3 linked regions of the Astyanax mexicanus genome follow. The protein of the gene in region 2 interacts with the protein of the main gene of each other region in a biochemical or structural test. Links are inferred from orthologs where the notes say so. Each region holds a gene or a part of one and is shown on either strand. Other genes may lie near its edges.

Region 1 (10,583 bases), on a different chromosome or scaffold from region 2:
TCCTCAGATCTTCCCGTGGACCCACCACCAGCTTTCTGAGCCTTTACCACCTTCAGCAGCTCGATCTGAGTATCCGGAGTTCCCTGAGCCAGCCCGAAATCCACCAGAGCGTACCTGAAGAGGAGGACAACCCAATAAACACAGTCATTACTCTGTCGGGTAGAAGTTTATTATAGATACTATATATATATATATATATTATAGATAAATATATATATATACAAGTTTAAGATATCAAAGCTTTTTACTCTTTTACTTAAAGTGTTTTAAAAAAGTTCTGGTTTAAAAACTACTTACAGAATAAAAGTAAAAGTAATGTACATTTTTCTCATAATGAATATAATGTTAAAATATTAAAATGTTAATGTTGATAATATAATTTGGGATATAATAATATAATCTCATTGAAAATGTCAATGTATATTAACAATTTAATCCGATTTAAAAAATCTAATCTGATTAATCACAACAATATTCTGTGATTAACTGCGATTAATCGCATTGTTCTTCTTAAGACACAAGTTTTAAGAACAAAAGAACAAATGTAAAAAACGCAAATGATAAAAAATGCAATTATATTCATATTAGGGGTGTCATTTTAAATACTAGTATATACATATCTGCGAAAAATTAGGAGACCACTTCTTCAGTTTCTGAATCAGTTTCTCTGATTTTGCTATTTATAGGTTTATGTTTGAGTAAAATGAACATTGTGGTTTTATTCTATAAACTACAGACAACATTTCTCCCAAATTCCAAATAAAAAGATTTTCATTTAGAGCATTTATTTACAGAAAATGAGAAAAATATATATATATATTTTTTTTCGTTTAGTACAGTGAAGAAAAAAAATGTGTTTTTATTCTTTTTTCCCAATTTTAATTTTTTTCCATTTCGGCACCTCACAATCCTAACTTATTATTTATATTATTTTCATTTAATTTTCAGATTTTTTAATTTTTCCCGTTGTATAATAAAACTTACTTTTGTTGCCGTATGTAAAAACAGAAAAATTTCAAAAATGAGAAAAGATAATTTTTTCTAAAATGTTTCCTGAAATTCTGAATGTGACAGGCAAAAAAAATACAAAAACAAAAAACTATTTCTTCTTCACAATATTAAAAAATAAAAATTAAATTTTATATATATATATATGTATATATATTAAGCCATAATGACTATAATGTTAAAATATTAAAATGTTCATGTTGATAATATAATTTAAGATGCACTACGCTGTTCCCTAGTGTTTTAGCTGCATATATGCTGATTGAAAATGAATGTATTTTAGTAGAATATAGTAAATATATTAAAGAAGTTTAGTTGGGCTGGAGTTTGTCTGGAGTTCTCTTGAGTCTCTGCACGGATCATCTTCATACGACACTACATATATCTGCTATGTTCCTGCTATGTTTATACTTCTCTACATCCAATCACAATCAGATTCACTCTATCTGGATGGAGAGATTTATCTGGAAAGGGGTTTTATTGAATGATGAGAGGAGTAAGGAATAAAAAGACGTACTGTTTGTCCCGCCGGTTGTAGAGGAAGTTTGTGGGTTTGATGTCTCGGTGGATGATGCCGAACTCGTGAATGTGCTTCAGGGCTTTCAGTAAGTGATAGATGTAATGCTGCACCTCCTCGAAGCTCAGAGTGCCGACTATATCCTACAACAGGAAGAAACACGGCTTTATTACCTTTATAAAGGGAATTAAAGTGATATTAATCCATGATTTTATTCAACAGTACTCACCACGAAAGGCTGGTGCTCTACATAGGGCATCACAATCACCACATGATGCTCCTTTCTGAAGCAGTACGTCACCCCCATCACATTTTCCTTACCACTGCAACACAAAACACAAAATATCTCATTAAAAAATGTCAATATATTTTAATTAGTCGTGTCAATTGATTAAAAAATGTAATCTGATCAATCACAACAAATTTCTGTGATTAATTGCGATTAATCTCACTACTTCTTCTTAAGACAAACAAGTTTACAGTGGATATTTTAATGCAAATAAAAGAATGAATGTAACGTAAAGAAATGTAAAAATTCAGTTTCTGAATCAGTTTCTCTGATTTTGCTATTTATAGGTTTATGTTTGAGTAAAATGAACATTGTTGTTTTATTCTATAAACTACAGACAACATTTCTCCCAAATTCCAAATAAAAATATTGTCATTTAGAGCATTTATTTACAGAAAATGAAAAATGGCTGAAATAACAAAAAAGATGCCGAGCTTTCAGACCTCAAATAATACAAATAAAACAAGAAGTTCATATCCATAAAGTTTTAAGAGTTCAGAAATCAATATTTGGTGGAATAACCCTGATGGTTTTCATGCATCTTGGCATCATGTTCTCCTCCACCAGTCTTACACACTGCTTTTGGATAATTCAAGCAGTTCAGTTTGGTGGTTTGATGGCTTGTGATCATTCATCTTCCTCTTGATTATATTCCAGAGGTTTTTCAATTTGGTAAAATCAAAGAAACTCATCAATTTTAAGTTGTCTCTTATTTTTTCGTCAGCTGTATTCTCTAGTTTCCATATCTGGCTACTTCAGACTGTATTAATTTCTGAGGAAATAAACTTTACTAAGGTTTAAATGAGGTGAATAGAGGAGGAGCACTGACCCTGCTACAGTCAGACACTGCAGTTCTGCAGCGATGCGAACCGGGTGGCTGGTGGGGATGAGATGTTTCAGCGCAAACTTCTCCCTCCTGCCGTCCGTCATCTGAGCCTCACCGAGATACACAGAACTGAAGGTACCTGAGGATAAAAAAAAACAGAATTTACAGTTAGAATAAAATAAAATAGCTATATGTCCACTGCCGCGCACCGTAATTACACTTTGGGTGTAAACACAACAGCGAATGGAAATGGAGGAGCTACTGAACGAGATGTCATGTGACCAAGAAAGCCTAAAAACTCATTGGTTCTCCTCTTTTTTTCAATTGCAGTCCGATGCAGGAGTTTTATCACTGAGTAGAAGTGTGAAATATATTTCACAGACGTCCCCCTGAGAAACTAGTCAGCTAAAATCAGGGGGTATAGTGCCTCTTTAATGAACCATCATGTGTATTTAGGCTGAAATATAGAATTTCATTAAAAAATACCATAACAAGTTGCTTTCTTCAATATTATTAGAGTTTTATTTTCTATTTGAGGGTTTTAAAATTACGCAAATTCCAAACCTTCTCCAATTTTGTCTGTGATTCGAAAAACCCGGGACAGCTGGGGCACAACTTCATACAGATACTCAATATCCATCTCAACATCTCCTGCAAAAACACACACACACACACACAAATACTGAATACAATCAAACTGTAGAATGACCAATAAAGCTAGAAAATTATTAATTTTTTTAACTTTTATATTATTCTTACTAGAGATTTTTCGTTTATTTTCGGTTTCCTCTGGTTTCCTCTGTAAGACCGGCACCGTTTCCTTCTCCATTATAAAGAAAATATATTGGAGAATCCTGCCTAAAAAAACACAAAAAATAAGATCATTTTACACACACAGCTTACAAGGTCAGTGTAACATTTAACTTCACTTAACTTCAAAGTTTAACCTTCTGATCATTTAAGGCATAATATGAAAGCAGAAAATAAAGCACAAAACTTTTCTGGACTTCACAATTTAAAAAAATAAAAAATACATAATTTTACAATTTTATTTTTTTTTTTTATTTCAGCACCTCACAATCACAACTTTAGAAAATTATTTTAATTTAATATTCTCTTAACTTTCAGATTTTTCCAATTTTATAATAAAACTTACTTTTGTTGCAGTATGTAAAAACGGAAAAATCAAAAAAATGAGAAAAGATCAATTTTCCTGAAATTTTCCTGAAATTCTGAATGTGACAGGCAAAAAAAAAATTACAAAAACAAAACACAATTTATTTTTCACAAAACTAAAAAATAAAATTTACATTTTCAAATTTAGACTGAAAAATAAAAAAAATGTAGAAAATTCTAAAATTCAGTTTTTGTGAGGGGCAGAAATTAAAAACTAGAAAGTTGGAATTTTATTATAGAAAACAGGGAATTTTTTTTATAAAGAAGATTTGAACCTAGTATTTTATTTTCGAGCCTCAACCATCAGAAATCTGAACAGATAAACACAATACTGCCCTTATAAACACCGTAACTCAGCAATTTACAACACAAACACACATTAAAACAATAAATTACCCTCTGCAAAAACACTTTATCACATTTTTCCTCTGTTTAATGATGAATTAAAGCTTTATTATCCGAATTTAATCCGGTTTATTTACTTTGTTTCGGAACTAAAACAAATAACTTTAACTTACCTTCAACAAAGTCCTCTTTATTACCAAACAGCCTTTAAAACATGAGTTTAATCCGCTTTTACCCCGCGGGGAGAGGTTTTATATCGGTTAAAGCGGGTAAATGGTGGTAAATATGAAGTTTAAAAGCTAAAAACTCCACAGAACTGAATAAACCGCTTTACGGAAAACCCGCTAAAACCGACACCCCGCTGACGTCACGCGCAGCAAACCAACAATGGCGGACTGACAAATTTCAAAATAAAAGTTCATTATTATTTATCACAGTACTACGGAGATCTTAAGGCGACATCACGTAAGAAAATTCAAATAATAATGATAATAATAATAATTATTAATAAGTGGGAACAAGAAAATTAAAGAATTGGACGACTAGGTAGGAATGAGATGATTAAGTCACAGGGGCAATTTATTAATGTGTGGGAACAAGATGATTAAGTCGTGGGGACAATTTAATTAATTGGGACTTAACTAACCGGGGACTGGGACTTAATAAACTAGTGAAATTAGTGTTATAGACCAAAAATAAGAGAAATAGAAAAAAGAGAAATATACATAAATGTCATATATAATTTGAAATTTTATTTAAATCCCACTGTTTTCTTTTCTTGTTTGTTTGTTTAGATTTGTTGTTTGTTTGTGTTTTTGTTTTGTTGTGATGTAAATTCGATCTATTATTGTGTCTGTTTCATGCTGTTGGATCGCATTGTATACAAAAATTAATAAAAAAGAAAAAAGAAAAAAAATGATAATATAACATTTCTATAACATTTTTAAATTCAAAATAAAAGTCTCAAGCAAACAAATACAAGAAAAGAAAAGTGTGAGTAAAATAAAAGTCTGAATAGTGAACATAATTATAATACATTTTTGTTGTAATAATTAATTTGAATTATTTTCACGATTCAGACTTTTATTTTACTCACACTTTTCTTTTCTTGTATTTGTTTGTATGCGACTTTAATTTTGAATTTCCGGTTTTCTCCACTAGCAACTCAAACTTCCTGTTCATTGTTGTTGTGCTCAGTGTTAAGTGAAAGCAAGACATGAGAAGATCATCAGTGAAGCAGCCAGAACATTAGGACCCGTTTTTAGAGAGGAAGAGGATGGACAGGTTTGTGGTGAAGATCCCTAAGCAGGCTGGAGGACAGCAGCAGGGAGGGAAACCTGCAGAGAAGGTGTACAGACAGGCCACTCTGGAGTCTCTGAAGGTGAGGAGTGTAGTGTGAGGTAGTGATGTGTGTGAACAGGGTGTGAACAGGTTTCTCTGTGTTATTCAGAGGGTGGTGGTGATTGAGGACATTGAGAGGTTTAAGGCCATGCTGGAACTTCCTGCTCAGACTAAGGAGAACATGCTGATGGCTCTGAGGGAGCTGGACAAGAAAGTGCCTTCAAAAGAGGTGCTGAGATCCACCAGAATTGGTAAAAAAAGGAGCTACCTTGTTTTTTTATTTGTAGATATTTGAATTAACCCTTTCAGACATTAATTATGTTCCAGTGCAAAAATATAAGAATATGAGACTTTTTCTGTGATCCACACAAAACAAGACTGTAATATTCTTAATACACACTCTATATAAAATGAAATCCAATTAACTAAAAAATAATAATAATTTTTATATTATTTAAAATTATATATATTTTTATTCCATTTAGTATAGTGAAGAAATTTTTTTTATACATTTTTTCAATTTTTTTTTTCCATTTCGGCACTTCACAATAATAACTTCAGGAAATTATGAATTTAATATTATATTATCTAAATTTTCTATTTTTTCAAAATTTTCCCCATGGTATAATAAAACTTACATTTGTTGCTGTATGTAAAAATGGAAAAAATATATATATATATAAGAATATTAGAATGTTTCTGTGATGTGCACAAAACATGACATTCTAAAATGTTTTATCCAAATTTATATACAATAAAATCCAAGTAACTAAAAATGTAATTGCCTTTTAATGTCCATTTAATGTCAAGCTGCACAAATGTTCTCTAACAAATATACAGTACCAGTCAACAGTTACACACCTTAAATTCAGTGTTTTTTTTTTCAATACTCTGAAATGTTCTGCATCGTAGATTAATACTAAATTCATCCAAACTATGAAGCAAAACATATTAAAATTAATTAGTAAAGAAAAACGTGTTGAACAAACAGTATATGTTTAATATTTTACATTCTTTAAACTAAAACCTCTTGCATAGATAAAGTTTTCTACATCTCTGCTGGATTTTCTCAGTCAGCTTTATGAGGTAGAGTCACCTGGAATTCAGGCTTTCAGTTAACAGCTGTGCTGAACTCGTCAAGAGTTAATTACTTGAATTTCTTGTCTCTTAATAAAGTGTTTGAGAGCATCAGTTGTAAAGTTTGAAGAGCAAAGCATTCTTAAGTGCAGTCACCGCAAACACTAAATCAAAAACATTATGATGATGGAACGGGCACTCATCAGGTCTGCCCCAGGAAAAGAGTTACGAGCCTCAGAAACCAGAGTATTTGTTGTTGTTGTGTTTGTTTAACAGTAATTTTAAGTTACTACATGATTCCTTATGTGGTTCTTCATAGTCCGGATCACTTCACTATTCATTTACTTTGTAATTTTCAGTATACTCTTCTATATATTATACAGATTTCAGTATGTAAGTATGAATACTGTTTGTCCTGTAGGTCACACGGTTAATAACGTGCGTAAGCAGCATCCGGACGCTGAGGTGAAGGCTCTGGCGCGGGAAGTCTACACACACTGGAGAACCTTCATCGCGGAGAACGCCAACAAACCCTCTATAGAGGTCCGCAGTGATAAACAGACTGAGGGGCTCCGGAGCAACGCGGTCAAACTCCTCGCTGACAGCATCGGACCGGAGGTAGGATGTACTGCACTGATACATAGTGCATCTCAAAAAATTTGAATATGATTGAAAAGTTACTTTATTGCAGTAAAACCCCAACAACCAACCAACCTGAGACCCAGGTTTGGCTTGCGATTAGTTAAGGGAAATGAATGGTACGGAAACAGCACTTTATCTGAGGAGCTCCTGCTGCTGTTCCTCACTCTATGAGTGTTTTTATCTGAGTACAATAAAAAAAACAGCAGCAAACAGGGGGGGTTGTATGTGGGTACAGTAAACTGGAAGTGGTGGGATGGGTGGTTTGCGAATGGAATTTAAAGATAGGAGAGATAGGAAAACATTGTCGGTTTTTGTAATGCACTATATTGTTATATAGATTTATTAAACACAGAGTGATCTATTTTAAGCGTTTATTTATTTTATAGTTGATGATTATGGCTTACAGACAATGAAAACCCAAAAATCAGTGTCTCAGAAAATAAGAATATTTTTGGCAGTGTGGGCAGTGTTCCACATCCGGCTGGAAAATGAAATCTGCATCTATTTTAAGCATTTATTTATTTTATTGTTGATGATTATGGCTTACAGCCAATAAAGGTTCTCAGAATAGTGTCTTAGAATATTTTATTCTAATCGTATGGTCATGAAAATTTGCCTTGAAGGCATGAAAAAGTCATGGAAATGTATTGGTTAAAAGTGTATGAACCCTGTATATTGTAAAGGATAAACAGGAGGTTTTTGAAACAATGTGGGGACCCGTTATGGGTTATATAAAGAGCTTAGGTAATATAGAACTTTAGACAGGTTGTGAGAAGTGGGTTCACATTCCTTTTTTGTTTAATATATGTGTATGTAGGTGTATGTATGTATGTATGTATGTATATGTATATTTCTACTGTATATCCTTCTGTGGCCCAGGTTTAGCTTGAGATTAGTTAAGGGAAATTAGGGGTACGGGAACAGCACTTTATCTGAGGAGCTCCTGCTGCTGTTCCTCACTGTAAGAGTGTTTTTATGGGAGTAAAATAGAAAAACAACAGCAAACAGGTGGGGAGGGATGGTTGTGGGTAGGGTAAACTGGAAGCTGTGGGTTGGATGTGTAAAAACTTGATTACAGAAAAACAACAGCAATCAGCAATTATTCACTCAAAAAAGAGACGAGTGGAATTGCTCAATCTATCCACAGAGAAAAGTTCTGAGTACATTTCATTTCAGTATCATTTCATTCATTTATTCATAAAAATGTATTTTTTAAATTACAATTCTAATCTAATTTAATTTAATTGTGATTTCTGCAAAAACGTCCTCAGTATGTCCTTAAATGGAGACATATATATTTTTTTATATATTTTAATTGAGTGTAATGGTACTGGAAGTGTCTTCATATGAGGTCAAAGGGTCAACATTTTAACTGATTAAAGCTGTGTCTCAATTCAGGGGCTGCATCCTTCGAAGGACGTGGTCTACGAAGGTGTGTCCTTTGAAGGATGGGTAGGCTGCGATGGCAGTACTGAAATGGGACAGTCTACCCTACGGTGTATTTCCTGTTTCCTGTTTGAGATTCTACCCTCCACAACCAAAGTGACCTGAGAACCAAAGGGCTGAGAAATGAGCCAGAGATTTTGATCTAGTTTTGCTTCAGACCACAAAATACCAAATTAATTAAGTCCAGGTTAATTAACTGTGCAGTTACTTAAATATTTTTAATGTGAACGGGTGGAACTGAACATAAATAAAATGGCGTTTGAAATGAAGTTAGAAAAAAGAGAATAAATTAGAATAAAGTATTATGTTATATTATCTATTATATATATATATATATATATATATATATATATATATATATATATATATATATATATATATATATATATATATATATAGTATTTTATATATATATATATATTTATATATACTACATATATATAAACCAAACAATACTTAAAAATAAACTAAATAATACATAAATACATACACACACATATATATATACATATATATATGTATATATATATATATGAAGTATAGTATTTACATATGTATAAACTATTAACATATAACAACATAAACATGATAATACATATAAACTAAATAATATAAATGATATAATATATAAATAATATTTATAATATCTATAAGTATTTATATATCTATAAACTACATAATAGAGCCGACTCCTCTGCTGACTCTGCCCTGTTCGCGCTGAAATAAGCCGGCACGCAATGAATCTTGGGATACTGTAGGCTGTGAGGGATACACCCGGTGCATCCTTTGTTTTTGAGGAAAGGAAAGCTGCATTCGTCGGCCGCATTCGAAGGAGTCTTCGAAATGGGACAGCCTAGTCGCACCGCGGTGACGTAATTGGCCTTTAAATGAGTGCTTCGAAGGATGCAGCCCCTGAATTGAGACACAGCCTAAGTATCATGATGCAGAGAAGCAGTAACGTCCCCATATAAGGACGCAGGGTCTCAGGAGGATATATGGGGGGTGGATTTGTGTGGGTTACAATGTTTGTTTTATTGTTCTGTCTCATATTTGGCTTTTGTTTTGTATATAAATAAAAAGACTATAAGAAAAAGAAAACATCATTTTGTTTCGTGTGATGTTCCTCTGGTTTCTGGTTGGTTTCTGCAGGTCAGTGATGGGCTGGTGGAGAACATGGAGAGGGAGGTGTTTCATCAGTCCTCTCGTCTGATTAACGTGGTTTATAGAAGAACTATCAGAGCGCTGGTCTTCGCTCTGAAGCACAAACCGGACGTCCGAGCACAAGTGAGGGACGGGACACTCCCTGTCAACACGTTCGTGAGCAATCACAAGAAGAAACAGTGACTCCTACCATCTTACTTATTTTATTTTAATTTTATGTGAAACTTTTTATACTGTATGATTTTTAAATGCTATGGTCCAATCCCATTTCACCCCTGATCCACCACCCCTCTGTTTTGTGTGTGCTAGAGGTGTCCTGATTCTTGTTAGGCTGCAGGGGTAGGTTAGGGTTAGGGGAAGGTATAGGTATAGGGCTTGTTATCCTTCATACAGAGATTTTTCAGAATCACTGGTAAGAAACCCACAAATGTAAATATTTTCCAAGCTAAAAGTGACGATTAGCACTATTTTACCATAGTTTAATGAGTAGTTTCAATGTTTTAAGGCCAAATTCTTCATAAAAAAGGATTAAAAGGTCGCTAATAGTTTGTATCAGTAGCTAGCTAGCTAGCTAACTTTCCCATTCCACCTTAAATGGTGCAACAGACAGCAGGGGCTGCATCATTTAAGGTGGAACGGAAAAATAAAACAAAATAAAAGATATTCAAAGCAAATTTCAGCTCCCCATCACAGAGGAATTAAGGAATGGACAGTAATAAATCATTTCTGCATCATCTCTCACCTTTCTGAAGACA
Region 2 (9,976 bases):
ACACCTCCCGCAGTCTGGACCAAACTGGTTACCTTGGCGATGGAGATGGTCTGCTGCTCCATCACTTCGTGGATGGCCGTGCGATCGGCGTCTGCCATCTTGTCAAACTCATCAATACAGCACACACCCAGATCAGCCAGAACCAAAGCCCCACCCTCGAGGGTCATCTCCCCGGTAACCGGGTCACGCATCACTGCAGCCGTCAGACCCACACCTGACGACCCACGTCCTGTCGTGTACTGACCTGCGGGGGGAGTGAGAGAGTGAGAGAGAGCACAGGGCAGCGGGGGTGCAGCAGAGAGAGAGAGAACCGTTGGACTCACTGCGGGGTGCCAGGCGGTCGATGTAGGACAACAGCTGTGATTTGGCCACTCCAGGATCTCCCATCAGACAGATGTTAATATTACCTAAACACACACACACACACACACTCAACTGAACATTCCTTTTTTTTTTCTTTTTTTAAGTGTGAGTGAGTAAATACAGGTTGTGATTCAAGTGGAAAATGATCGGACCTCTGATCTTCATCCCACGAGGCGCCTGTTCGACTCCGCCCACCAACAGAAGCAGCAGCGCTTTCTTAACGTCCTCGTGGCCGTAAATCTCAGGGGCGATCGACCCAGCCAGCTTCTCATAGAAATCCTCCTCTACACACACACACACACACTTTATAAACATATTTATAATGTAGAACAGTGATGAGTTTAAGGTATTGCACAGATGATCTGAAGTAAGTAAACATTTAGAGAAAGCCTCAGCACAGCAAAAACCTGCAAATCTGAGACTCGACTGCACACCTGTGATCTGCCGCAGCTCCTCCTCACTCAGGTCCTCAGTACCCAGCTCATCATCCTCCGTTTTATTCATCAGAGTCACACAGTGAGCCTCCAAGTACGTCTCTGACAGCAGACCCTGAGAACACAGCCAGTCAGAACAGGAACATCTGAGGGTTCAACACAGCGCCTCCATAGGAACTCTAACCACACCAACCCAAACTATCAGCCAGCAGCTGAACAACGGTAGGTTAATCTTTGTGTGTGTGTGTGTGTGTGTGTGTACCTGCACAGCCTGTCTGAAGCCGGAGCGAAGAAGAGGAAGGAAGACCCCGGAAACGGCCACGTGATCTCCCGGCTGCACTAATCGTGTGTTCTCTCCTCTGGCGTAAATAGTCATACTGCGCGGGATGTTCCCCACTGGAACCTGGTCGCTCTGCAGCCGAAACAAAACCAGAGGTTAGTACAGTCTCTCTGCAGCACAGAGGGTCCAAAGCCCGGTATTACTCCGGTTCTGATTTAGAGCTGATTGAAGACACACACATGCTCCTGAATCCGCAGCTCCTGAAACTTGACAAACTTTGAGCCCCTGGTCTGCAGGTAGAGGCGCCCCCCTGACCGATTGGTCACACACTCCTGACTGGGACACATGATGAGTGGCATGAAGCTCGGAGACGCAATCTATAAAACACACACACACACACACACACACACACACACACACACAAAAAGTTATTCTCAAAACAAAGAGACCCCCCAGAGGATATTGTCAGTAACAGGTTCTAGATAGCTGTACCGGCTGGTAGGTCTCCGCGCCACACTGGTCACAGGTGTACGTAGCAACAGCCATCATTGGTTTAACCTCAGTTGCCCTGGTAACGATTCCTCGGACAGTAACTAGCTTCCCAATGCTGTCGGCCTTCACATCCCGCACAACCTTCGGCTTAGAGGTGGAGGGTGGCCGGAAATACACCTCACTGAGAGAGAGAGAGAGAGAGAGAGAGAGTCATTTGTGTTCTTTTTTTATTTTTATGCCCTTAAGCATTAATATGCTGTTCACTCACAATCTTCTCATGAGCTCAGCAGGGTACTGGTTCCTGGGGTCCCTCATGTCGGCGGGGTCACGACCCCTGGTCTCCATCATCAGCCGGTGCTCGATGTAAACGTCCAGCGCATCTTTGGCCACTACCTGCAACACACCAGTTTTCAGTAGCTGCTCAAACACCTCTGAGTGGAATGCTGTGTGTGTGTGTGTGTGTGTGTGTGTGTGTGTGTACCTCTCGCTCCCGGTACTCTGGGAGAAGCTCATGGACTGCATCTGCAAACAGCACTGTGTACCGTTTTGTGTTCTCACACACACTTTCCACCAGCTCGGGATCTTCCTCTGCTACGTCATCCAGGTCCACCACCAAGCCCACCTGCTCCCTGTGTGCCAGGGCCACCTACACACACACACACACTTAGTTGGAGAAGAAAAAGGTGACAGTGCTCAGTGTCGGTAAGACAGAGGGTGTGTGGGTATTACTCACCAGTTGAGCTCCATATTTAAACACCTTCTTTCCAGAATCATCTTCAGAGTAGAACTCCTGCAGGAAGCGCTTGCACTTCTCTACACACACACACACACACACACACATTAAAAAAACTATTAGAACGCCAATTCTAAAGACCTGCCCAATGTAATTCAGATCGGATTGTACCCATTACTGACCCTTACTTATGTTTAGCCCCCCCCCCGCCCCCCCCCCCCCCCCACACACACACACACACGTACCAGATTAAACCACATAAGTGTGTCCAAAATGTCTCACACTTAGTGAAGGGGAGCAGGTGCTACACGACAAAGGAGAAGCTCCCATTGATAAACAGTGATCACGTGGTTTGCACCCTCCCCCACGCGGAGGAGGACCACAACTGCTTATTAGAAGCTTTAGTGCGTCACAATAACCGTGTACAGGTACATCACACGCGCGCGCAGTAACCTTAATAAATAACCAATAACCTTAAAAATCGGTGAACTATCAGAAACTGTCAGCTCCACCTTAAATTAGTGCAGCACTTTCACGCTGGATCCTATGGCGCACTGCTGCTCTAACTGCTGGACTAATTTAAGGTGGAACGTAGAGTTCGAGTTTTCAGCATTTTTTATATTTATATACCCTGTGTGTCAACCCTCTTTATTAAAGCTCGGAACTCCATCTTTAACCCCCACCCCTGCTCCTTTCCGAACAGCTTTTCTTATACATTAGGATTCCCAGCCGCCCTCCTTTTTCCGAGCCCAGCCCCGCTCCGAATACGAACCGCGGTGTGTCGGCGACTGGATCCTGCGGTCTTCTCCGCGCGCCGGGCTGCCCAGGAACCCCGCTGTAAGCGCGCAGAGAGCGGGGTAGAGACAGACGGAGCTCCGCGCTCGCTGCTGTTTTTGTAAACAAAGAAGCACATGGCTCCCGGCCTTCTCACATACTGTGCCCCTCCGCGCTGCTCCAAATAGTGCCCGGATAAACACAGAAGCAACCCTCCCCCAGCACACGCATTCAGACAGGAACAGTAGGACTTAATCTACACTTCAGGACACGCCAGTCTGTTTACTTGTTTACATTTCAATTATAAAACTAACGATGAGGTTCAAAATATAGTAAGCAAAATAACGCGCAGATATTTTATTCCAATATAATATAGAGATCCCTTAACACTACTCCGCATTTACATTAACGATTAATATGTTTACTACTTGCGCGTATATTCTGTGTGTGTCTGTGTGTGTAAACAAACTGCGTGCGTGTTTCGCAGACTCTCACTGCACGTGCTCCTCCGCGCGCCACAGCTCTTTGTTTTACGGGTGCATCCGGGTAACCAGCGCAGATCGAGTCATCCCAGAGTCGACTCCTGCCAGTTCACTCGAAGCAGCTGACCGTACTATAAAAACTCAAAAGAGGAATCCGCTGCTCCTCGGTTTAAAGATCTCACCCTCAGTTCGCAGCTGTGTGATATTAACGACCTTAAATTGTGTGTATAAATTCTATGTTTGGATTTAATTCGGTATTTACTGTTGATCTGAGACGTAAACATTGCGTAGTTGCGTCAAGTTCATTCATATGCTCGGCTCAGACGAACCGACTCATTGACTTATCCGTGCATCCGGGTACTGCTGCTCGTCCACAGCTCTGTAAACTTTACTGGAAAAACTTTAGTCTTTGGTCTAAAACACGGTTTGATCTAAATTAACAGAACTAACTTTACAGCTGCTGCTTATAGAAGTGTGATGAACAGCGGAGCAGGAGCTGTGTGGTTAATAGCGCAGTTAAAGCGCGGCGGGAAGTTAGCCTGCGAACAATGAACACTGCTAACCACAGCTAAGCTAACTAGCTGACAACCACTATTTATTAATCATAGTGAGTCACTAAGGAGAAATAAGTGGAATCGCTCTGATCAACACACACACACACACACACACACCATCCCGAAACTCCCGCTACTAATAAGCTACAAGTCGCTCCACCTTAAGTAATTCAAGTAGTACAAGTAGTTCCACCTTAAAAGCTGCATGACTTACACAGCTAGCAGCGACAGAAAGCTACAGAATTAGAGCACCGTTTAAGGTGGAACGGTCCGTTAGACTAAAACGCTATAAAATGTTTCCACCGGATAAAAGCGTCTTACTCGAAATTAAAAACATTATGTTGTATTAACACAGAATAATTGTCAGTACATGATTAAAAATCTGATCGCCATTTTTCTTTCTCAGATCCTCAGAGTTCCTGCAGTTTCTTACCTTTCTCGGCTAAATAATCCTTCGGTGCCATTTCCAATCGGTCTTTTTGATGTTCAGCCTCCTAAATCGATCCTAAATCGATTTATTCCTTGGAGAATATTGATTATAGGAGTTATTATCTAGAAACGCGAGTGTTAAAGTTTCGTCACTGTGTCTCCGCGCACGCTCCACTCCACACAGCACGGTCTGCGAAAACTGGCGGGAGTCTAACTGCGCTGCGGACCAATCACAACAAGAGTTCTGAAGGTATCATCCAATGAGAGCAAAAGGATACGTACACACTCCACCAATCAGCGATAGATTCTTAGAAAAGACGGGCGGGGATTATGTGTGGCGCGAAAACTGAGAGATACGTAACACACCGCGTGACCTTGTCGACCAACCACGTTCTGAACTGTAATGGCGCCAAAAATGTCAGGGTGAATCTCAATTGGCTCTTTGCTTCCTACGTATGTTTTTTTTTAACTAGTGCACTAAATGCAGTTCCATTTTTGATTGTAGAAGTCGTGCACTATGTAGGGAGCGAGGAGTATTTTTTTATCAACAATCATATCTCTTAAATATGGAAGCCCATTCCCGCCACCTAAAAAATAAAAATAATCCAGCAAAAAAAACTATTATTATTAAGTAAACTGCTATCTCAATATTTTGAGACACTATCTCTATATATTGAGATACTAAATCAATATTTTAAGATACTAAGTCAATATTTTAAGATACTAAGTCAATATTTTGAGATACTAAGTCAATATTTTAAGATACTAAGTCAATATTTTTGAGATACTATCTATAGCTTCTTATTCGCCAGTGTCTACTTCAGATTTCCGTTCCATCTTAAATGCTGGCTGAACATACATACGGCCGCCTGTAGATGGCGCATTTTAACAGTAAATAACAGCATGTAAGCAAAGCGCTATGCAAACGCTCTGAATAAAGGAGAGAACACAATGCGAGGGACAGAGATTAACTCTGAGTGAAATATAATGTAAATAAAATTAGATGATATGAATTAAAATGTTATTGCTTTCACTTTTGGCCTAATTCCCAGGTCATTATCTCTTCAGTCTTAAGTCGTCTAGAAAACTATCATACCTATTACACAATACATAAGACTGTCAAAATCCTGAAGAAGGTCAAATATTACTGATTTTTTTCACAATGATCCTGTGAGCACAGCCTGTAATATAATATAAATTAATTAATATTAAAAATAATGGTAAAATAACACTTTTCGCCTAATTCCAAGACCATTATCTCTTCAGTCTTAAGTCGTCTCACAAAAATGACTGACACACCTAATACCCAGTACCTCACACTAATAAACAGTACCTCACACTGACAGTCTGACGTATTGAGTATTAGGTGCGTCAGTCATTTTTGTGAGACGACTTAAGTCTGAAGAGATAAAGGTCTTGGAATTAGGTGTAAAGTGCTATTTCACCATTCATTATATTATATTACATGCTATGTTCACAGGGTCATTATGTAAAAAATCCACAGTAATATTTTTTCTTCTTCAGGATTTTTTATAGTATCTCAAAATATTGACTTAGTATCTCAAAATATTAATATGGTATCTCAAAATATTTAAATAGTATCTCAAAATATTGAGAAATATGTGAACTAATTCTGTTTAAATTGTGCTTAAAACACACCATTTTCCAACACAATAAATCCAGGAATGCTTTATTTTAGAAAGCAATTAATCACACTCATAAAACTAACATACATTTCCAATAACTTAGTCTAGTTTATTTTTCTCATCACATTAATTTGTGTTTATGTTAAATATTTATATAACCATTTATATTAATATTTATTAAACCATACACTACCTCCTGATTATTTTACAGCATCGTAAAAACACTGTTGCGTATTTAAATTTTAATCCTTAGTTCCTATCTTATTCTCTTTCTTTCACACTGTACATCTTACCATTTATATATATTCATTTATTGTATTTGCATTAATGTTTAAATTGTATAATTCTTATGTTGTAGATATTTTTTTTGTTTAGTTTTTATGAATATGGTCAAACAGACATTAAAGCGCTTCCCTACTCTCATGAGTCACTGCTTCTAAACGTGATTTTTAGCAAATATGTTATTTAGTCAGTATTTTAACAATGATATATGATATAACCCATTTACTATAATGAAGAAGATGAGGATTACTGCTGAACATCCAATTAAAAACAGCGGGCTCGTAGCTTTTTCTCTGGTTGTGTTGCTGGGTAGAAACCACAAAACAATCCATCAGCGTTTACTGGACGCTGTTATTGACCAATTGTTTTCTAGCGTTTGCTGCGCCGTTTTGTCCAATCAGAACTCGCTTAAAAGCGCGCCTAAATTTAGCCGTTCGGAACCAAGAGATCTCTTTCAAACTGAGCTAGAACCAGAACCGGGGAAAAGTTCTGCTGCAAAGGAGAACCGGGTTCCTCAGCGCTCCTGAAACTGTAGAACCGCTCATCTCACAATTTCTGAGGTAAATTCCCCGCTCAGAGCCACTAAACTCGACCGTGCTAATGCTAATCTGCTAATTAGCTGCTGCTAGAGTCCTTTTCTAGTTCTAAAACTTTAACTAGCGTTTTACAATAGTACAGCTTATTCCTACAGTATTTTACAATAGTACAGCTTATTCCTACAGTATTTTACAATAGTACAGCTTATTCCTACAGTATTTTACAATAGTACAGCTTATTCCTACAGTATTTTACAATAGTACAGCTTATTCCTACAGTATTTTACAATAGTACAGCTTATTCCTACAGTATTTTACAATAGTACAGCTTATTCCTACAGAATTGTACAATATTACAGCTTATTCCTACAGAATTGTACAATAGTACAGCTTATTCCTACAGAATTGTACAATAGTACAGCTTATTCCTACAGAATTGTACAATAGTACAGCTTATTCCTACAGAATTGTACAATAGTACAGCTTATTCCTACAGTATTTTACAATAGTACAGCTTATTTCTACAGTATTTTACAATAGTACAGCTTATTCCTACAGAATTGTACAATAGTACAGCTTATTTCTACAGTATTTTACAATAGTACAGCTTATTCCTACAGTATTTTACAATAGTACAGCTTATTTCTACAGAATTGTACAACAGTACAGCTTATTCCTACAGAATTGTACAATAGTACAGCTTATTTCTACAGTATTTTACAATAGTACAGCTTATTCCTACAGAATTGTACAATAGTACAGCTTATTTCTACAGTATTTTACAATAGTACAGCTTATTCCTACAGTATTTTACAATAGTACAGCTTATTCCTACAGAATTGTACAATAGTACAGCTTATTTCTACAGTATTTTACAATAGTACAGCTTATTTCTACAGTATTTTACAATAGTACAGCTTATTTCTACAGTATTTTACAATAGTACAGCTTATTCCTACAGTATTTTACAGTAGTACAGCTTATTCCTACAGAATTGTACAATAGTACAGCTTATTCCTACAGAATTGTACAATAGTACAGCTTATTCCTACAGTATTTTACAATAGTACAGCTTATTCCTACAGAATTGTACAATAGTACAGCTTATTTCTACAGTATTTTACAATAGTACAGCTTATTCCTACAGTATTTTACAATAGTACAGCTTATTTCTACAGTATTTTACAATAGTACAGCTTATTCCTACAGAATTGTACAATAGTACAGCTAGTGATTTAATGTGTTTTACCTTTTTTCAGTAGAATTAAACAATTTTAAAAGTCCTTTGATATGAGAGGTAAAGCTGTTACCCTCTCTGTTTTCCAGCAGGTTTTTGTGAATAAAGGGAAGAGCATGAAGTATGAAGAGTCTGACCGGGACAGGTAAACTGGTGTTTAAAGCCTCTGGGAACATGTACGCATATATTTTGATATTATGATATCAAATGTGGGTGATATGTGAGGTATGAAGAAAAAATTTAATAGAAAACTTGAATTATAATTTTAGTAAATCTTTAAATTTACCAACCTGTACTCATCACACCTCCCTGATGTTTTGTTTTATTATTTGTTGGGATGTTTATGAACATGTACATCTCTCTTTGACAGGACAACTCACAGCCAACACACACAACATTGGGGCACTGATCCACTTTTTAAACGCCATATTCTACATCAAGAGAAGAACAACACTGGTGAAATACACCATGTTTACTTAGCTTTATGTCACTGAGGTGCTGCATTAATCTTAATAGAAATACATCTCAGATCTGGAATTTAACTCTTTCCTCAAGTCTTTAGTGTCATGTTAATCCTGTTAAATATAAATTGTTCCTATTCCATTTAGTATGAAAGAACAATACCCACACCAGTAACATTAAAACAATTCTTAACTGATATTTCTAAAAAAAATCTATGGTTACTAATTAATCAAGAGGATGACACTTAATTTTAGACTTGAAATAATTTACTGATCAGCTTAGATTTGATCATGATACTGAAATGTCCCTGCAAGTAAACGTAATTTGTGTTTGTTTGTGTGTGTGTGTGTGTGTGTGTGTGTGTGACACAGTAGTAGTCCTGAGGATCTGGACGATGTCTCAGATGCAGACTTCAAGCTCCAGCTAAGAATCTCAAAGAGAAAACTGGACATGGCAGTGGAAACAGCAGTATTTTCATTTGCTTTCTCATCCATACTTTCACTCACTTACACTCACTCACATTCGCCTCAAATTAAACTCATTTGATTACACACACTCGCTCACTCTTGCTTTCTTGTTTTCACTCACGAAAGTATGGAGTACTGAGAGAGTTTTCCACTACGTTTTCGATTTTTTACGCCAAAAAAAATTATGTCAGTCGGTCTTAACACTCACACGAACACGCTTACACTCACCAACATTCACTTTCGCTCACTCTCACTTACACTCCATAACACTCACTCACTCTCACTCATGGGCGTGGTAGTGGGGGAAAAAGTTGTCTGACTACTCAGGGCCCTAGTAGGGAGAGGGGCCCATGAAACTCCAGATACTTGTGTACTGGCATGGATAGGGGCCCACTGACATTGAGAGTATACAGGGCCCAGAATTTGCTGCTACGCCCCTGCTCTCGCTTACACTCGCTCACTCACACTCACCTACACTCGATTACACTTGCTCACTCTTGCTTACACTCACGCTTGCTTACACACAATTACACTTGCTTACTCTCGCTTACACTTACACTCGCTTAGGCTCTGATACACTCGCTTCACTAATACACGCTGACAATCACATTTAACTAACACTAACTCTCCTAAACTCATTCACTTCTAAGCTGTGTCTCCACAGTCTCCCAAAAGACTCCGGCAGAGAACAGCGAGTCAGTCGGCCAGCAGCTCCGGTACATCCCGGCCCGACACGCCCACAACCCCCCTCGCAACCGAGACGCGGCGGGGGGGAAGGAGCCAGAGGAGGGAGTGGGGGAGGAGC
Region 3 (10,086 bases), on a different chromosome or scaffold from region 2:
AAGTGATTCAGAAACTGAAGTGCTCTTTTCATTTTTTACAGAGCTGTATTAAATCCACATTTCAGCATAAATGAAAATATAATTCAGAACCCAGCATTACAACACTATGTTTATATTGCAAAATAAAACTCCTAATTACGGGAGGAAGTCGGGGCAAACTTGATAATGTGATTAATTTGCGATTAAATATTAATGCATTAAAGTTTCCAGGTTATATATTACAGCCAATTACCCAGCGGGATGGAGTCAATTTTCTTCCATGGTGTAAGGTAGGTTTTCTTCTGCAGCCAATCAAAATACTCCTGGCAGCTTTCACTGGGCTGGTCCCACGGTAACTCTGTAAAACAGGTCTGAGCGTCAGAGACCTTCAGAATAAAGCACAGGTACATTAAGCTTCACTATTCTCACTGTAAAATAAATTCAGCAGGTGTTCTCCTCACCTCCAGCCAGCATAGCAGTGAGCACGATGCCACAGGCCCAGATATCTGCAGGCTGAGCGTGAAACTCCGGCCGGGACATCAGCTCTGGAGCCACGTAGGGCAGCGTCCCACACAGCCGGGTCAACATACGCTCGCGCCCGCGGTGCCGGAACATCGTAGCCAAACCAAAATCTGAGATTTTCAGATTATCTAAGAAAGAATAAACCAATAAAGTATGAACATCCTTTCTTATGGGAGATTTAATATTTATACGAAAGGATTTAAACATTTTAAACCACCTTTATCATCCAGCAGAATATTTTCTGGCTTGATGTCGCGATGAGTGATCCCAATACTGTGAAGATATTCCTGTGAAAATAACACATTTCAGAAAAAACCTGTTACAGTGCTTTACAGTTTTAAAAAAATATAATAGCTATAATAAATTGTACACAATATAATGTGACGTTATAGATAACATTTAAAAGTCCATATCAGTATTATGTGATGAAATAGGTATTTTTGTATAATTGTTTATATATAAAATGTTAGCAGTTTATATGCATGCACTGAATATTCTGGAACTTTCAGATATATTTTCATAGATTTTTTGCTACTTCATTACCATTTTGTGCAAAATCAATTTTGGTAAGATACTGATTACAAAATAGACAAAAATTATACATTCATTGAATAAAGCTTTGACATTTATTTTGTTGGCATAATATATTTTTAGATCAAATATAATATTATCAGAGGATTTTTTGTATTGTCAAAAATATAATCATCGGAAAAATATTGGGCTATAAATTGTTGGACCATATTGAACACCCCTAATAAATAATTAATATAATAAATAAATATCAGCACTCACCACTCCTCCTATCAGCTGCTGGAAAAACCTGTGAGCCTCTTTTTCTGGCATTCCCACATCAGGTTCTGAGAAACAACACAAATATAAATGTTTAATTATCTTCAAATATTTGCTAAATAGACCAGCTGATCCCTGTAGTTGCCTTCATTCTGTAGTCGGCTACATGCCCATTACTAGAAACTCCAGGTTTAAGATTGTTTTCTCTGAATTATGGGAATTTTGGGAAAAATGCTGTTGTTGCATCCTGTGAAAAACAAGAATATACTAAACCTGATATAATACATTTTTCACCTAGAAATTACTGGATGCTTTTGAATAATATGTCCTTTAAGCTTTGTCTAACATGTCTGCAATTTGTACATTTTCTCCAAATGTTATAGTTTCAGATTTGGAACATTTTTCTGCATCATAGTGTTTGTTTTTAGTGCTTTTGGTTTATTTATTTATTTCTGCATTTTTCTCAGGATCCACAGAACTATGCAAACACCAATAAAAGTTGGGCAATATGACAATATATTATCATATTTCACAATGCTTTTCCTTAAAGCATATCAAGAATATCATCACTGCCAAAAGAACACTGACCCAGCTGTACATTTAACTGCATAAAGTGTAGAAAATCCTGTTTAAGTATATGACAAATCTCTGAAAAATAACAGTTTTTAGGAATCTACCACTGCTGTTCCCTTTTCTCCAAGTGTCAAAACATTACATGTAATATAATATTTTAACCAATTATTTAATTAGGGTCAGACTAAGGTTTATTACGTTTAATTTAAACATTAAATCAATGTTTTCTGCTCTCACCTATTCGATCAAACAGCTCTCCTCCACTGCAGTACTCCAGGAAGATGTACTGGATGGGCCCCTCACTCCTGTGCCCGAAGAATCGCACGATGTTGGCGTGTGACAGCATCTTGTGCACACAAACCTCTTTCTTCACATTGTCCAGACAGTCTTTAGCTCGGGATGTGTCGACAACTTTCACAGCCACTGCCTCCTCTGTCTTTCTGTTCACTAACAGGCGTACCCTGAAAAAAACAGCATAAAAAAATAAATATTCAGAATCATTTTAATGGTTCCAGAACAGACAGCACAGAGAAAAAGCCCACAGATGGACACTCACTCTCCATATGCACCCTCTCCTAGGGTCTGCACCAGATCCCAGTCTTGAACAAAAGGAACAGCCATTATCTGAATTGAACAGACACTGAACACAAAACCAGAACATTAGATCAGAAATCTCCACAAACAGGTTTCTAAATGAGTATTCTGTTGTATTTATTTTGCCATGTAAAGCTTTAAAGGGTATATTTTGTATAGTTGTTTATACACAAACTAAATATACATATTCTACAATTTAGTATTATGGCAGATTTGCGTTGTTATATCAGATTATTTTCATATTACATTATTTATTTTGTTACATACTTATTTCATACAAAATCATCTTAGAATGTTATTGTTGTTTCCAAAAAACGACAACAAAATGATTTCTTTATCTGCTAAGTTTATCACAACAATACTTTAAAATATCTTGATTATTTTACTGTTGATGAAAACCCAATCATATAATTGGCAGTGTGGGCAGTGTGCCAACCAAGTCATGTTGGAAAATGAAATCCACATCTCCATAAAAGTTGTCAGCTGAAGTAAGCATGAGGGCTGTAAGATATCGGATTTTATTTTCCAGCAGGACTTAGTTGGCACACTGCCCACACTGTCAAAAGTACCAACTGGTCTTATATAATATTCTAACTTTCTGAGCAACTGATTTTGGGGTTTTCATAAGCCATAATTAACCATTAACTATAACATAAATAAACACCTAAAATAGATCACTCTGTGCGTAATACATCTATATAATATATAACATATATCACATATTGAACCGAATTACTTAATCAAAGTAACTTTTCAATGATATTCTATTTTTTTTGGAGATGCACTTGTATACACATATACAGATGCAGTTGTAATAATGCTGTAAGTTAACTGCAATATTAAGATACAGTACAGTCATTGACGTATCAATAACTTATCAATATTAAGCTTATCTATTGATAGTGATTATCTACTCTCTTGAGAGGCCAGCCTGTAACGTTAGAGTTTCTCTTATTAAAGTTTCTATTGTTTTCTCACTTTTTTCTAACATTAATCTAATCCGGCAGTTACCCATTAAACCCTTCTTATATATTTATATTCAATATTTATCCTAAATTGATATTTATTTATTTATATGTATTAATATAGACGAAGTTCAGGATCTGTGATCTGCAGCAGATAACGTTACAGTCAGAGAGCCGGACTGTATAACAGCAGTTAAATAAACAGTGTTTCTGAGTCTCAGCGCTGATCTAACTCACCTCACACACCGCAGCTCTGTAGTGGATTAAGGGGAAATTCTCCCATATAAATAATAAGCGCGTGTTAGCGCAGAAAACACGATTTATTAATGAGTATATTATATATCCGCTGCTTCCTCCAGCCACACAGCAAAACAAACTTTGGCGCGTTTAGTAGCAACGCGCTCACAGGAAGCACGATACAGTACCACCACTTTTCAAAATAAAAGCCTCAACAAGTCTTATTCAGAATTAAGTTTAGAAGCAAGTGATTAATGAGTGGGCTGTGCAAAATTGGGGAGAAAATGGGTATTTTAAAAAATAAAATAAAGAAAGTGATTGAAGGCTAAAATAAAATAACATAAATACACCATAAAACAATAATCCTATTTAATCCTATATATACCATATATAGTGACACAGAAATATCGTGATATTAAAAATCCATATTGTGATGATAGGGATGTTCTGTCTTAAAAGTAGTCTGTTATTTACTGTGAAGTTTTAAGTGTATTTATTGTATAATTGTTTTAGTTAGCAGTTTATATCAGCGCTGTCCTATGAAAAAAAAAACACTTATCTCCATTTTTGTTAATTTTCAGTTTACTACATAATTTGAACAGACAACCTGTCCCTCACACTGAAATAAACTCTTTTTATATTGATTTCCACTGAAAGTTTACAAGGTTTTTTCTGTTTTGGAGATCAGTGTTTTTTATTGGACAGCGGCAATATGCATGCACTAAATATTCTGCAATATTTTTTGCTGCATTATATTATTTTATGCCGTATTATTTGAATGAATTATTTTAGTTTTTTCCCAAAAATACAGTTAATTACCAGAATAAAAATAATGCTAGCATGATTGATGACAATTATATTTAAAGTAGTTGCAACAATAATACATATCTAAGTGTTTCTAACACTGATTCATTTAACTTTTAAATACCCATTATCAAAAGCTTGGTCTTAAGGAAGAAAATGTGCGATTAATTGGGATTTTTTTTATATTATTGACACATTTTTTTACAATTGTTGTGTCTTGTACTGAATTATTTTATATTGTTTTGTGTTTAAAAAAAGTTTTTTTTATATAAAAACGATCAAACATTGATCAAATATGATTTTGTTTAATTGCTCCATACGAACTCATTCATTTTAGGCTCAATCAGGAGCGCCCTCTAGTGTCAAACATACCCAGAACACATTAATAAGGGGGTATTCTCCTCTGTAGATTATCTCTGGTATCGCTGGTTGCTAGGATACAGAAGGGCATTACCGCAAACAGAAGTGTCCTCCATCAGGTTTAAACTCCCCAGAGCAATACTTAGGAAAATTTAGGATTTGTAATATTAATAATTAGCTAATTAGTCAATATGCTGATGAGTCAGAGACACCGAACACAGTGCCGGGAGTTCACCGGACCCACCCCTCACTCAGTGGCAGTGGTGAGTTTATTTTGTCTTATTTTATCAGAGGCTCCAATGTGTTATTATTCAATTCTGATAAACAGTAACTAGATCAGGAAGGTTTATTACATAAATATGACTTAAATATGATATTAAATATTACAGCAGGCCAGTGGCTACATATCTAGTATTTAAAATCCATTCAACAGTTTAAACTCAGAATTCTCACAGACTTAATTTACCAGTCAAACTTTTCAACACATCTTTTCATTCAATGTTTTTTATTTATTTATTTATTGTAAGTTTTTTTCTACATTGTAGATTAATATTATGGCCAAAAAAAACAATTAAGGGACACATATGGAATAACATAATAAACAGTAAAACAAAAAATAGATTAGACTATAAACGAGCCAAAGAAAAAGTTTATTAGCCAGTGAAAAAATAACTTAACCCTGCCCACTGCACTAAAAAAACAGCACTAAAAGCCAAAGAGGCAAATTAAAACACCCCATTTTTAATTATTGTATGTATTTAATATAATGTAATGTATTCCAGGAACTCCTTCAAGACGCTGAGAAAACTTTTCCAGGTGACACTCCCTCATGAAGACACTGAGATTAAAATACCAAGATACTCAATACTCAAAGATAAATGTACTACTTTAGAGTTTATACTCTAAATTATAAAACATATTCTGGTTTGTTTAAAACTTGTTTAAAGAACAATTCATCACGTGTTCCTGTAGATATAAGGTCTTCATTATTAAATGTAAATGTAAAAAAATATATAAAAAATATATAAAATACATTGAATGAGAAAACGTGTACATTTCTGCTGCTATGGTAAGACTGGTGACAATCTATTGTCCTGTGTTTGTTAGCTAAGTTAGCCTAGCAACTGTGTCCTCTTAGAAAGTCTGCATTTTGCTTTGTTTCTGCTCCATACAACTCTACCAGGTATTCATTCAGTCATAGAACTTCTAGGAGTCCCAGAATTTGATTCCCTAGTTCCCTCACCATGTTGTCATATTTTGGGGTTTTATATGACATCATAATATATGTATATAAATAAAATCAAGAATTTTTATAATGAAAAATGTAAAAAAAATTCTCAACACAAATCAGTATCAAATGTTTTAAAACTGCAGATGTAATTTTTAAAAGCTTTTAAACAACAGTTATAAAAAGTAATTCTATTAAGGGGGCCAAGTCCAAATGAGTTTAGAGCTCCTCATATCGCTAACGATATGTCCCACCCCTACTTGTTATTGTGAAGTCTTTTCTTATTAATGATTATTGATTAATTATCTATTTAAAATATTTTAGAGGGCACGGCATCCATCATCCAAACCCCCAGATTACTTTATTCTGGAGAGGAGGAAACAGGAAGTCAGTCGAAACAAGGTGCTAGAATTCACCAAGGACCAGAAAACCTGTGACCTGAAGATGCTTTGGGAAAGAAACACTGAACAGCGGATGGTGTCGGCCACTATTGACAGGCGGGTCAATGAGGCTATGGAACAGTATCAGATGAGCATCGATGAAAGGAGAGAAAGGTTCTCAACTCAGTTCATTTTTACACTAATTAAAATCTACTACCGTACTTTTATTATGAGTAGTTTCTTACTTTTTCTCTCCTTCTTTTATTCTTTTTCTTTCACACTATTACTGTTCTTACAGGCTGCGTAAGATGCTGGAATCAGAGGAGAGGGAATTTCTGCGGGCAACAGAGGAGCAGAACGAGACTGTGCTGGAGAGGCAAACCAAAATGAGAGCGAGGGCAAAGTATCTGCAGGAGAAAAGAGAGAGCGAGAGGCAGAAAGTCGCTGCTGAGAAACTTGACCAGCTCTTTAGGTACAAATGTTTTTTTTTTTTTATTACTGCTAACTGTGCATAACATAACTGTATCTAAAGGATATGCTGTAAATGGCAACTTACAGCATGCAAAGGGTTTTGGAAACACATAATGATATATAGTGAGCACACATGCCTGGAGTGGTGGGCATTTGTCACTTAAGGGCTTAAGGGCCACAGTCCTGTCATCAATAACCTGCTACTCTAATAACATGTGACCATTAGGGGTAGTGGTGGTGCAGAAGTTATATTATAGGTTTGAAATCAGGGCTCGTCAAGCTACAGTAGGTCCTTAACTCCACATGCTGCTGCGATGTCTGCCCACTGCTCCAGGCATGTGTGCTAATGTCACTGTGAATGTCACTGTGAATGCAAAAGGCATACAATATTTATTTTAATTAATCATGGGTGTTTTACTCCGCTTGTATTTCAGAGAGCAGTGTGAGGAGCTGAGGACTGCAGAGACCCTGCGCAGACGGGACGAGATCTGCAGGGAGCGAGCTGCTCAAATCCGTACACGGGACGAGGCACGCCGTCTGCATAAGGATGAAGAAATGCTGTTCGCTAATCTGTGGGAGAACGACCGACTGGCCAAAGAGCAGCGCGAGATCCAGGAGGCTCAGCGTCAGCGCGAGAGCAACTTTCACACCCTGGCTTTTCTGCAGGATCAGATGATGGCGGCTGAGCAGCAGAGACAGCAGGCCAAACAGCTCAAAGAGGAAGAGGCCAAGTTACTGGTACTAGTTTCCTAACAGTTTACATGTAAAGATTAGTGGTAGACAGTGTTTCAATTTGGTGTTGTGTTTAAACCACTTGCACCAGTTAGAAGTGTTGTACTCTGTTGTCAGATCCGACTGTTCTGATTGGATAGCAATCAAACTTTTCCTTTACTCAGATTTTATTAATATAATAGGATCTTTTTATGCTATAAAAGTTTTTCTTAAATTTGTTTTAAAGAATTGCAAATTATTACCTTGTTTTACAGTATTGCAATATACACTGTCTGGACAAAAAAAAATCGCTACCTGGATTTAAGTAAGTAAATGATGTGGGGTTGATTCTGCAGTTGGTCTGCAGGTTTAGATTCAGCAACAGTATGTGCTGAAAGAATGAGGTCAGCTGACTACCTGAATATACTGAATATAGACCAGGTTATTCCACCAATGGATTTTTTTGTTCCCTGGTGATACAGACATGATAATATCAGGATTCATGGGGCTGGAATTGTGAAAGAGTTCAGGGTTCAGGGAGCATGAGATCATCATTTTCACACATGGATTGAGAGAGTTCACCACAGAGTCCAGATCTTAACCTCATTGAGAATCTTTGGGATGTGCTGGATGGAGAAGAGCTGCTTTGAGCAGTGGTCAGACTCTACCATCATCAATGCTGCTGCAAGATCTTGGTGGAAAATTAATACAACACATTGTAACACAATGTAAAACACATTTGGAGTTTCAAATACGTCTTCTTTTTTGTTAGCAAGAAGACTAAGTCTAACTCAGTCTAACTGAGCATGTGCACAGTGAGTGTAATCACTCTAGCTTGTTTCTAATTGGAGAAATTCAAGGTGTTACAACTTTTACATGTTACAACAATCCCTGGTCTCCCCTACCAAAAGCCACAGTGTATATGAAGGTTCATTAAACACTTTTGACAGACACTGTTCCTTCACTGCTCTGTCTTTGCTGAAGCTGTGTTTGTATGCTGTGTTGTTCAGAGAGAGCAGAGCGAGATGCTGCGTCTGGAGGAGCAAAGGGAGCACAAACAGAAGCTCCAGAGTCAGGAGCGGCGGCGCAGGCAGCTGGACCTCTCCCTGCGGCTGAAGATGAAGCGAGTGGCGCAGGAGCAGCAGGACGAGCTGGCCCTGGACATGAGCATCCTGGAGCAACTGCTGACAATCGAGAAGGACGAGAAAAAGGAAGAAGCTCTTAGGAAGGTAAGAACTGATCGTGCCACACTAAAGCAAAGAGGAACCATGCAGAAGAAGGTTAAAGGTAAGAGGATGTGTACAGTTTTGATTCAGTCATATAGTGTGCAGTATTGAAACCTTAATAAATTAAGTGATCAGAAACTGTGGACAGAAATGCCCAAAAGCTTGGAAGCTACACATTCAGATTCTCCCAAAGGCCTAATCAACTTCTATAGTGCTAAGGCTCAATATGTGGGCCAATAGGTTAATTTGTCCACTCTTAAATTTTATAATATTAACTACAGAGTAGTTTTTTTCATTTTCTCTGGATACTTCATAGCCATTACTGAATAATATGCCTGAAGATTAATAACTGAATAATAAACCTAAAAGTCAGGGGCACAATTGGTCAAAACTGCTATTAATAAATTGTGTAATGCATTATAGTAAAAATAGCAAAGCACTGTAAACTACACCAACCTGCTAAAAGTCATCATGGGACAGGAACTAGTATCATATCCTATGGCAATTCTTGTCAGATGACACCAGTCACAATCATTACCTCCCACTGCACTGCATGGTAATATTATCCATCTATGATTTACAGTACTAATTTGGACACACTGTAAAATTCTGTGTTTTTTCATTATAAAATTTTTTTTGCATTGTAGATTAATACTAAAGTCATCCAAACTATGAAGAATATATTCTATATTTAAGATTATTCAAATTAGCACCTTATTCTTAAAGGACAGCTTTACACATCTTTGCTGGATTTTCTCAGTCAGCTTTATAAAGTAGAGACATCTGGAATTCAGGCTTTCAGTTAACAGCTGTGCTGAACTCATCATGAGTTAATTACTTGAATTTCTTGTCTCTTAATAAAGTGTTTGAGAGCATCAGTTGTAAAGTAGTGAAGAGGTAGAGTTACAGGTATACTGTGAATAGCTCTATTTGAGTAATGTCTTATCCATATTATGAGAAGCAAGAACTACTCAACTAAATAAAGAAACAAAATACTTTAAGAAATGAAGGTCAGTCAATCCGAAACACTTCAAGAACTTTGAAAGTATCCTCAAGTGCAGTAACCGCAAAGACCAACAAAAGCTTTATGATGAAACTGCCTCTCATCAGGACCACCCAAGGAAAGAAAGAGCAAGAGTTTCCTTAAGATAAGTTCATCAGAGTTATCAGCCTCAGAAACCACAAGTTAACAGCTTCCCAGAGAAGAGCACCTAAATGCTTCACAGAGCATTTTAGTTTATTTAACA

The links.
Region 1: of the proteins of mcm7 (region 2) and cdc7, one has a biochemical effect on the other in vitro, tested with the Homo sapiens proteins (2 studies listed by BioGRID). The link is inferred for Astyanax mexicanus from reciprocal best matches to the Homo sapiens genes MCM7 and CDC7.
Region 3: the proteins of mcm7 (region 2) and chek1 form a complex in vitro, tested with the Homo sapiens proteins (2 studies listed by BioGRID, with this or other methods). The link is inferred for Astyanax mexicanus from reciprocal best matches to the Homo sapiens genes MCM7 and CHEK1.

The regions. Positions count from the first base shown.
Region 1 is NC_064411.1:55,010,857-55,021,439, reverse strand, and holds the start of cdc7 (cell division cycle 7-related protein kinase), read right to left. Parts: upstream 4,540-10,583; 5' UTR 4,335-4,539; intron 3,499-4,334; 5' UTR 3,470-3,498; coding exon 3,400-3,469; intron 3,292-3,399; coding exon 3,205-3,291; intron 2,780-3,204; coding exon 2,644-2,779; intron 1,849-2,643; coding exon 1,755-1,848; intron 1,669-1,754; coding exon 1,526-1,668; intron 115-1,525; coding exon 1-114. Other genes in the region: tceanc2 (transcription elongation factor A N-terminal and central domain-containing protein 2), read left to right, coding at 5,438-5,542, 5,612-5,753, 7,001-7,197, 9,817-10,011. UniProt on the Homo sapiens protein: Kinase involved in initiation of DNA replication. Phosphorylates critical substrates that regulate the G1/S phase transition and initiation of DNA replication, such as MCM proteins and CLASPIN.
Region 2 is NC_064426.1:60,923-70,898, reverse strand, and holds the start of mcm7 (DNA replication licensing factor MCM7), read right to left. Parts: upstream 4,753-9,976; 5' UTR 4,577-4,752; coding exon 4,546-4,576; intron 3,179-4,545; exon of another isoform or gene 3,075-3,178; intron 2,383-3,074; coding exon 2,303-2,382; intron 2,216-2,302; coding exon 2,051-2,215; intron 1,963-2,050; coding exon 1,838-1,962; intron 1,751-1,837; coding exon 1,570-1,750; intron 1,455-1,569; coding exon 1,317-1,454; intron 1,210-1,316; coding exon 1,060-1,209; intron 913-1,059; coding exon 798-912; intron 648-797; coding exon 516-647; intron 408-515; coding exon 324-407; intron 245-323; coding exon 33-244; intron 1-32. Other genes in the region: cohesin subunit SA-3, read left to right, coding at 8,366-8,418, 9,076-9,172, 9,836-9,976. UniProt on the Homo sapiens protein: Acts as a component of the MCM2-7 complex (MCM complex) which is the replicative helicase essential for 'once per cell cycle' DNA replication initiation and elongation in eukaryotic cells.
Region 3 is NC_064424.1:6,591,394-6,601,479, reverse strand, and holds the start of chek1 (serine/threonine-protein kinase Chk1), read right to left. Parts: upstream 3,824-10,086; 5' UTR 3,660-3,823; intron 2,504-3,659; 5' UTR 2,485-2,503; coding exon 2,420-2,484; intron 2,325-2,419; coding exon 2,101-2,324; intron 1,359-2,100; coding exon 1,294-1,358; intron 789-1,293; coding exon 719-788; intron 630-718; coding exon 441-629; intron 338-440; coding exon 233-337; intron 1-232. Other genes in the region: cfap53 (cilia- and flagella-associated protein 53), read left to right, coding at 5,015-5,086, 6,376-6,605, 6,730-6,903, 7,337-7,640, 8,624-8,842. UniProt on the Homo sapiens protein: Serine/threonine-protein kinase which is required for checkpoint-mediated cell cycle arrest and activation of DNA repair in response to the presence of DNA damage or unreplicated DNA.